Tribolium castaneum: one gene and its partners. The protein of the gene in region 1 purifies or fractionates together with the protein of each later gene. This does not show direct contact. Links are inferred from orthologs where the notes say so. Each region holds a gene or a part of one and is shown in the gene's direction. Other genes may lie near its edges.

Region 1 (3,820 bases):
GGGGCGTATTTTCGTCGAAAATATTAACAACGACCGGCCGTTGATCCCTTATCAGTTCGTTACAAATGTTTTCAACGTGATCGATCTGTTCTTGGGTAATTTTCGGTATATCTTTAAACATAAATTATTCAGAGCGTTCAAACCAAAAAAAAAAATACCTAGTTCAATGTACGACACTTCTTCTCCCAAGTACCAGGAGATTGTATCAAAGTTAAATTCTCTGATTAAAACAGCAGAGATTAAATGTTGGCCTGAATGTTGCTGCATGTGATCCAGTCTGCGATTCCAGTCAATGATGCCTTTAACGTCATCACCGACATTGAGCGGTTTTTCGATGAAATGGACAGCTTTGTCGCCCCTTCGTATGACTTGGTACACGGGTTGGTCGTTCAAAAAACCGTGGTCACAGGGCTGCAATTTTTAGTCAAATGGGTTATTAAAATGTACCGTTTGTTCAATTAAATTTCTGATCAAAGTGACCTGGCACAATGTTGCTAACTTAATTTCAGTCACTAGGACCAGAAAATTAATTGAATATGTGCACGAAAAATTAAAAACCTGGCCGCCCCCTTCAGGAAATAGAACAGTGTTCTCCAGAATGACTTCATATCCATTGATTTTAACGTTTTTGCCGTCAACGGTTGCGTCAAACTCGCTTTTTTCGCATGAGACTACTTTTGAAGTAAACTACAAGTATTTTTAATGTAACAAGTTAAAATTTGTTGTTTGGTACCTCTTTCAAAAAGCTGTCTTCCTGGCACTTAAACACCATGTTAGAATTACCGATCACTTTACAAATTAGTAAATTTTTGAGCAACTCTTCCGTGCTCTGGTTTGACAGTATGGAATTAAATTTTTTGGGTGTTTTAAGTGGTGTTTCTTAAAAACATATAAATGTGCGACTTTAATATATAATATTAAATCTAATAATCTATAATCTTATCGTGTTGTTCAAATAAAATAAAACAAGTCATCGGGGCCCCCACAAAACACGTTGCGACTTACGTTACGTTTTGACATTTCGTATTACGTTACGTTAATACCTCACTGTAATTCTCAATTTTGTGAATTTCCTAGCATATTTAATTTTTAACAACTACTTCGCTACAACGCAAATTGAGTTTTTTAAACGTTTTCCCCATAATAAAAATTTTCAAAAAAAAAAAAGTAAAAAATGTTGCGTTATTTTACGTTGCGATATTTGACAGCTTGACCACTTGACATTTTCGCAAATTGGTTAGAAATTCAATAACCGGCTTCAATCTCTATATTAGTGCAAAAGTAAGACATAGTATTAATTAATACAATGGAACAGAAACTCTTAGACGGACTGAAGGACCTGGGGTAATTATTTCCCAACCAAAAATTTCCAGGTCTAACTTGCATTGCAGTTATTGTGGCCCCCTTCTCGAGAAGGCTAGTTTTGATTCTGCCCTGCAGGAGGGAGCAAAAAACGTGGAATTCACCAAGCTAGTCAGTTTTTTAACAAACGAGCTACGCGCATTGCTTAATATCGATGAGGAAGTCAATCCAATATCAGGCCCTGAAGATTCAGTATCGTTTGTTATGGAAGTTAGTTCTTTTCTGAAAGAATTGAGTGCGGTGGTTTTGTTGTATTTTGCCAATTTTTTCACATTTAATGGTTACAGACTGCCCCTACGTTGCCTTAACACAGGGCCATATTTCAGACCGTCTGGAAAGTCACCAAGACAAATTATTACTTTTAGACTATTTGGCTACTGAACTGATGGCCGCAAGAGTACTACAAGAGAAAAAGCCCGATAAAAAATTTGAGCTAAAACTGGTAAGTAAAACGAAACGCAATTTTCAAATTGTTGATAAAGTTTTGCAGCAAGAGACTGAAGAAGCTGCCAATATGAGGAAGATATTAATGACTCTGAGGTTTCATAAACCGCCCCCAAACATTACTATTCCACAGTTATTCCAAAAAGTTTGCCCAACTGTGCAAAGTATTGTTCAAAAAGTTGGAAGTGAATTAGTTGGAAAGCCTGCGTTTCAAGGAACACTTTCTGATAAGCAGTGGGAAACACTAAATGGGGTTCAGAAGGATTTGAACAATGAATATAAAATTAGAAGAGAGATGTTGCTAACAAGGCTGGATGTTACGATTCAGTCTTTTCAGGTGGGCACTAATTTTAACATTTGTTCCATTCTTATTTATTACTTCAAAACAAATTTCATTTGCAATCTATACATAAGTTTCATATTCAATTGTTGTTGCAGTGGTCTGATAAAACGAAAGGCAAAGATGAGTTATTTGAAAAAGTTTACACCGAAAAGCGGAAACGCCTGAAAACGGAACCGGAAGTTGAACTTGCTGATTTATTAGCCGCACGAGACGACATTGCAATTATCGAAAAGACAAGTAACTCGTCTGTGCGCAAAAACACAAAATCGTCACTAAATAAAGTCATTATTGGACAGGTAAAACCATGATTTTGTTTAAGAAAAAAACACCAAAGAAAACTTTTAGGTTCCTGATCGTGGAGGCCGAACCTCTGAGCAAGCGCCGCCCCCTCCGGAGATGCCCTCTTGGCAGCAGCGCACGCCGGGGCCCTCGGGGGGCGGTCGAGGAAGAGGCGGCGGTAACTTTTCCCGTAACGACAACAGACAGAACTATTCAAGAGATTCGGGGAGTTACGGTGGAAGTTACTCTGGTAATCAAGGTGGTTATGATAATTATAAAAGCGGCGGTCGCGGTTACGACAATTATAACCAGGGGCGCAGTTATGACAGTGCTGGAAGTTACGGTGGTGGTTATAACAACCCTGGTTATAATAACGAGAGACAGGGGAGTTACGGCGGCGGCCAAGGCAGTTATAACGATAATAAAAGTAGTTACGATAATAGGAATTTTGATAGTGCAGGTAGTTACTCCACGAGCTATGAACAAAATTCGAAAAGGCCGAAAACTTACGATTCCTTTCAACAAAATAGAACGACTTATGCTGATCAGTATGTGCAAGAGGAACAGCATAATCAGCAGTATCACGGGAGGGGGAATTACAGAGGGAGAGGCAGAGGACACTCGAATTACAACAGGGGAGGCAGGAATCACTATTAAAAATTGTGCTGTATCATTATTTGCAGTTATTTGAAACTAGCACTAACACTTGAAAGATTGCTAATGTATTTAAATATTTAATAAAAGTACTGAATCGATATTGAAGTTTGATTTTATAGTATTTCCATTTTCATCCAAAACAGTTTCTAGAACTGAAGAACTCACTTCCTAAAGCTAGTAAATTCAAAAAAAGGTAAAAATTAAATGCGCCATCTATGCAATAAAGCCAAAAGTAAATTAAAATTGTTAGTGTTGCCATCTATATGTTGGATGTAAAAGTACAATGCTACAGTAATCTGTAATGTTTTAATTGCCATCTATACGCTTTAAATTAAAGCTAAAATATAAAGTAACCTGTAAATTTAGCGCCATCTATTTATTTTTAATCTAAGCTTTAGTTAATAATAACCTGTAAAAATTAAAGAAAAGTGTCTTCTCTTGCCTTTCGGATTTATTAATATTTTGAACTTAAATATGGGACACTTTCTGTTGTCGTAGCGACTTGAAATTTTGCATGCTTACATAACTTTTGAAGCACTATTACGTCATGTACTTCGATTCCCGATTTAAAAATGTGCAGTGCTATCTCGGTTCCTGAGGGAGATACGGGAACGGGACCTAGCCTATTCGATAGCCCGGGAAAAATACTACGGGGCGGTAGGGGTTTTAAAAGGGCAGAACCACCCCTCTATTTCCAACAGGAACGGAGATATTTCGCATTTTGTGAATCGCAGA
Region 2 (2,548 bases), on another chromosome or scaffold:
ATTCCCTTAAAATACTTTTAATTGTCTTGAATGGCTGTATATTTTAATACAAGGAATTAAGTGTTACGTTTTTCTTTGGTCTGTAGAGATTTTTTTGAAAAATTGTGTCTAAGGTTACAATTATTTAGAAAAATTATGTATGTATGTTGTTAATTTTTAATATTTATTTTCAGTTCTCCAAGCACGCCGTCAGCGAGCCGCCCCCACACCCCCCAAACCCCCTCTCACAGCCCATACATCCCTGCAACAGTGAGCGGTCCCGTAGGCCAACCCCACATGCCTGTCATGATGCCGGTTGGCTACATGATGACAAGTCAACCCCAATACCAGCCCCCGCCACAAGGTAGCCGCGTCCGTAAAAGTAAGTCTCCACCCACAAACCACGCCCCTCAACTAATCAAACCAATTAATTTCAGTTCCGATGAGCCAAATGCGTACGGACGTCACCAGTCAAATGCAAGTCGCTGCGGCAACAGGTCAACCACTCCTAGCTCCGCCCATTCAACAATTCGTCTATCCACCGGGCATGAATCCGCAAGGATATCATCAAATGCACACCCTTCGGATGTACGAAACCCCGCCCCAAATCCAATACCTCCCACCCAATCCATCGAATACGCCCTCGCCGGCCCAACCGCCCCAATACACACCGGGCCAGGGCCCCCAGCCGCCGCCCCAACAGTATCAAGCCCCGCCTCCGCAAAGTCATCCGCAGTTTCAGCCTCTCATGTGTTCCATACTTCATACCCAGCCGCACATGATGCAAAATATGCAGTACCTGCAGCAAGCCCCGCCTCCGCAACATCCCATTCCGGTTATGCTCCCCCCACAACACCCACAAGCGCAACAGCATGGGCCGGCCCCTTAGCGGTAATCCACGTGTTGTGTTCTAGGTAATTTTCATTGGTCCCTAATCCCACCCACTCCCTACTCCCGCAAACGTTAGTTTTTTTTGTTTTTTTTCGGTTGGTAATACCCTACCTACGAGTGATTGTTACAGACGGAGTCAAAATTAATCTTTTTTTACTTTTAGGTAATTAATATCTATGACAAGTAAAAAATTTAATCAGTTGCTTTATCGTGTTGGTGACACTGTGGTGCAATTTTACCAACTTTATTAAAAACCATGGTAAAACAATCAATTTTTTTTTCATATTTTCTTCACCCATTTAATTGACTGTTAATATACCAAGCTTCAAAAAATTTTTTTCAAAGCGACTATTTATTATTATTAATTGTGTGAGAGTGTACAGCGTGTGACAGAATATAGGCGTATGGTACAGTAAGCGACCCATTTATCCCTAAGCTTGGATATTGACATGGTCCCTCATGACGTCTCATTCATTGCTTCAGTCGTCTGTAGTCCGGTTATTTTTTTGTTGTTTCAAAATTTTGTTGTTTTTTATTATTTGTTGTACGTTGTGTTGTTGAGGCATTTCTACTCGAACATTCATTCATTCCATAAGCAGGTCATCGTATTATTTCATTTGTTTTCAGCAATGAAAAAAAATCGTCCCTGTTGCGATTATTGATTTGTAAGATATGGGGACGATCCTACTTGAAAGGTGCCTTAAATAAAAAATTTGTGTTTTTTCATCACGTGCGATGCAATCTTTGGCACCTGAAACATTTTTCGATACTACGTGTTTCTCAAAAATAACAATGATTCAATTTTTTTTTGTTTTTTTTTGTATAAGATCAAAATTATTTAAATTTTTTATAGATTAAGCGATTGAATATTTAAAGCTGTGCAGAATATTTTTTAATAGATGGTCAACTCAGTTAAAAAATCTGTAGAGCTGTGAATATTTTCAGTGCACCATGTTGGTGCAGAAGTAAGTATTGTCAAAAAAAAGCAGAAAAGCAGTTAACAGTTGTATGATTTTCGCAAATAAAGTCACTTTGGTTTTATTTGTATCTGACTGTTTCATTATTCCCATATTCCTAGTCCTTGTCTGAAATATAATCCGGAAGTAAAATTACCGTTGGGGGCGCCCCTGAGCTAGGTCGAAAACAGTAACCATAAATGGCGGGAAAATGTTTATTCTAATATTTTGAGCGTTGTACGAATTTTGAGGCTTCACAATTATTGCATAGCCTCTGCGAAATGACTATTGTATTTTTGGTGCAATAAACGAATGTTGATAAATTAGAGATGACGAGGAAAACACAAATAACGAATGACTGGTTCATTTCCTTAATTGGAAAATAATTTTAAAGACATTGAAAAGCCTACCTTTTGGAACAATTTATGCTTAAATGTATCAGCAGTTGTTAATCTTAATTGTAGTTTTGTAGATTTATCGAAGTTTTTCATGATTTTTTCAGTGGAAAAATTCTAACCAAAAATTCACAGACTTCACTAATTTATTGGTTTCGCTGTATTCGCTGTGACCCATTGCTTATAATCTTTAATAACACTTTGTAATCAAAATTTAAAACTTTTTCACTTTTTATCCACTTTCAAATTCCAACAGTAAACACTTTATACCACGAAAAACCAAAGTCAAAGCTTTATTTACCACCACATACTTTTAAAGGGATTGTC
Region 3 (2,982 bases), on another chromosome or scaffold:
TTTTTCAACCTAGTTATTGGATAGTGCATTTGATATGTATTGGGGCCATAAGGGGAAATTCGATTCAAAATGTAATCTCTCAATATCTCACGGTTACTCTTATTTGAAAGTTAAGTTATTGTTAGACTTATTTTAATTTTATTTATGCATAATGTTGGGTGCTATTAGTGTAAACTTTTGTTACGTGTTGTTACTGCGGGGTTGTGCTGCTTCCAGATTATCTATGCAATTTCAAACGTTGAACAGTCTTTAACTAGAGCATGACAGCGCATCTCAGCACCGAGATTACTACACTAGCCATTGTTTGTTACTGTTATCAGAAAGTTGCGTGATATTTATTTAATATCGATTTTAGTGATAATTCTTTTACTTCGTTGATTGGATATTATAGACGAAATATTTACAAAATGTATAGTCAACAGCATTTCTAAATGAAAGTATAACATGTAGACTTTTAGTGATTTTAATGTTTGAACAATATCCAAACTTAACAAGTATATTAACCCTATAACTGATGGATTTTGGGCAGTAATATTTCGGTACGAAAACATTTGTACCCAAGTATTACGTTTTCTTCTTATATCAATATCAGACCAACGATTCTGTAATTATCTACGTCTTACACCCGTTATTACTTTGCAGTCTTTATTGGTCGCCTCAAATTGCCTGTGATAAAGAAATTAAATCCCGATTGTTATTTTTATTTATTGGAAAGTTACTTATGATTTAACAAATTCTTTCGGACCGTTGATTTTATTTTTGCGTATTGTCACCATCAGTTACGAAATATGTTTGAGTTGAGAGAATATTTCAATGATTTTGTTTGGGACAATTGATAGAGAATGTTTACCACCATATTTTTGTATTTAACTATTTATAGGTGTTATATGTTGTGTTATACACAAAATATAGTATGTATATTATGTCACTTACCTATGATATAACTTAGTTTTAAGAAAAAAAGTAATATGTAGGTTTTTATTAGCCCTGGCGGCATTTAAGTATAGGAATATTTATTTTACAAAAGACTGAGCACGAGCTATTAGAAATTTTTATTAATTGTACTGTATGTGCATTTTTAATAAACACTTATGTATTATTTCCACTTTTTTATTAAAAAAAACTTAAGTTTTAATTACCCTTCATACAATTTTTCTTTTTATACAGATTTCTCAGGAATCATACAAGGTCATTGACATTTTGACACTGACAGCACCGGTAAAGTTTTATTTATTTTATCACTCGTGAATAATTAAAAATGGTTAAAAGGCTCTTATCAGCATTAGAGTACCCACAGTGTGATGTGAACGTTAACGGTGATCACGTTGTCTCGATAATTTTAATTTAACTTCAAATACTGATTTTTAGACGAAGCAACATTCAGAAAAATTGTGGCATGGTTGGAATTAAATAAAATTAATAAAGCTGATTCTAACGTGGCAAATGGTCTTAAAAACGTAACGTCAAATGATTGGCCTAACCATTTTCAAAAGTACAAGGAAGCTCTAGGTGTACCCAATTTACAGAGCCATCAAGAACAACTCCAGTGGCTTTTAGGTTATGCTGTGCAAATCGAGACTCATAATAATAGTAATATTGGTCGTAGCCACAAAACACGAAAATAATTTTTTGTTTTAGGGGAAGTATACATTAAACATGCAGTTGAGAACTTAAAGGCAACTAATGTTCCAACTGTTGTCACTGAAAATCCCCTTGATAAATTAGATTGTACGTAAACAAGTCGATTTTTTCGGTAAATAATTTTAGTAAATTTCAGTCCACAGTAAAGAATTTGCAGAAGGTATTACAAAATTGGCACAACTATTAAATATAACGCCCCATCCTGACCCGCTTGTGACCTTAAAAGCAGTTGCAAAGCTTGTAACTACAAGACTGTCGCCACAAGCTCAAGCCAATCCAAGCGAAGTCATAATAAAGGTAATTTGTGCGTAGTTATCAAGCCTCAAAAATCTAAATGTGTTTTTAAAGGGCACACCTTTTCCTTTTCAAGAAGCTGACTTGGGGTTTGATTTGAATGATCCTGTTTTAAATCAAGCGGCAAAAGTATTAAGAATTTTATACATCCATGATCTAAGAGATTTGCAAACGAAAGCCAATGAACTAATTGTGGCCGTTCAAAACATCACAGCTAATCCTAAAACTGACACAAAGCTGGGAAAAGTCGGAAAATGAAGTGTTTATTTCAGTTCTAATATTTATTGATTCTGTTCCTTATAATCACGAAACGGCGATTTATCAAATATTTCTCCAACTCCTAACGCTACACAACCTGCAATTACACTAATAAATGTCTAGTGAAGCACTTTTTGTGTTAATTACCTAGTCCTAAAGAAGTTAACGAGTATTTGTACTTTTGTGTTGGTTGTTTGCCATGGTAGATGAGGTAACCACCAATTGCAGTTAAACAACAAATTGACGTGATTTTACAAGCTAAACAACTCTCCTCTTGCTTGTTCCCCATAATTTGAAATGTATGTATAACCTACAAATTACTTGTCAAAAAGCCGGAGCCGGCTCTTTAAATTGGAACTTAAGTTACACTTTTACAGTTGACCAATTACGTTATAATTGCAATTAAATTACAATTTGTCATGAATACAACATAAAACAATGTGTTGTGACTCTTAGTCAATTATTTGCATTGTTTTTAATTTGTAAATTGACTTGACGGTGCCAATTTACAAATTTACCTTCATTATTTGAAATAAGCGACTGGAAATTTACGGTCACGCACACCAGTTGTGTGTCAAGTTGACATTGACAACGCAGATAACCTCAAATATTTCCCAGTTGTAAAGTGTAATTGTGTGATAAAAAATAATGACGGCAATAGACCGGGTGCGTATTATGGTGTTGGGCGACTCCGGCGTTGGCAAAACCTCCTTCGTCCACCTTGTCGCACACAACGAGCCCATAAGGTCCCCCAGTTGGACGGTCGGGTGTTCAGTGGAAGTGAAGCTC

Evidence for each region.
Region 2: the proteins of protein FAM98A (region 1) and ataxin-2 homolog purify together in Homo sapiens (co-immunoprecipitation; 3 studies listed by BioGRID and IntAct, with this or other methods). This does not show direct contact. The link is inferred for Tribolium castaneum from reciprocal best matches to the Homo sapiens genes FAM98A and ATXN2L.
Region 3: the proteins of protein FAM98A (region 1) and RNA transcription, translation and transport factor protein purify together in Homo sapiens (affinity purification with mass spectrometry; 4 studies listed by BioGRID and IntAct, with this or other methods). This does not show direct contact. The link is inferred for Tribolium castaneum from reciprocal best matches to the Homo sapiens genes FAM98A and RTRAF.

Annotation. Positions count from the first base shown.
Region 1 is NC_087394.1:32,799,279-32,803,098, reverse strand, and holds protein FAM98A, read left to right. Parts: upstream 1-1,173; 5' UTR 1,174-1,306; coding exon 1,307-1,344; intron 1,345-1,391; coding exon 1,392-1,597; intron 1,598-1,649; coding exon 1,650-2,143; intron 2,144-2,244; coding exon 2,245-2,445; intron 2,446-2,494; coding exon 2,495-3,085; 3' UTR 3,086-3,183; downstream 3,184-3,820. Other genes in the region: alanyl-tRNA editing protein Aarsd1, read right to left, coding at 1-111, 159-411, 559-687, 734-772. UniProt on the Homo sapiens protein: Positively stimulates PRMT1-induced protein arginine methylation. Involved in skeletal homeostasis. Positively regulates lysosome peripheral distribution and ruffled border formation in osteoclasts.
Region 2 is NC_087401.1:8,009,845-8,012,392, forward strand, and holds the end of ataxin-2 homolog, read left to right. Parts: intron 1-173; coding exon 174-361; intron 362-416; coding exon 417-868; 3' UTR 869-1,917; downstream 1,918-2,548. UniProt on the Homo sapiens protein: Involved in the regulation of stress granule and P-body formation.
Region 3 is NC_087396.1:19,110,262-19,113,243, reverse strand, and holds RNA transcription, translation and transport factor protein, read left to right. Parts: upstream 1-1,172; 5' UTR 1,173-1,258; coding exon 1,259-1,316; intron 1,317-1,368; coding exon 1,369-1,590; intron 1,591-1,638; coding exon 1,639-1,728; intron 1,729-1,777; coding exon 1,778-1,938; intron 1,939-1,989; coding exon 1,990-2,193; 3' UTR 2,194-2,323; downstream 2,324-2,982. Other genes in the region: rab-like protein 3, read left to right, coding at 2,842-2,982. UniProt on the Homo sapiens protein: RNA-binding protein involved in modulation of mRNA transcription by Polymerase II. Component of the tRNA-splicing ligase complex and is required for tRNA ligation.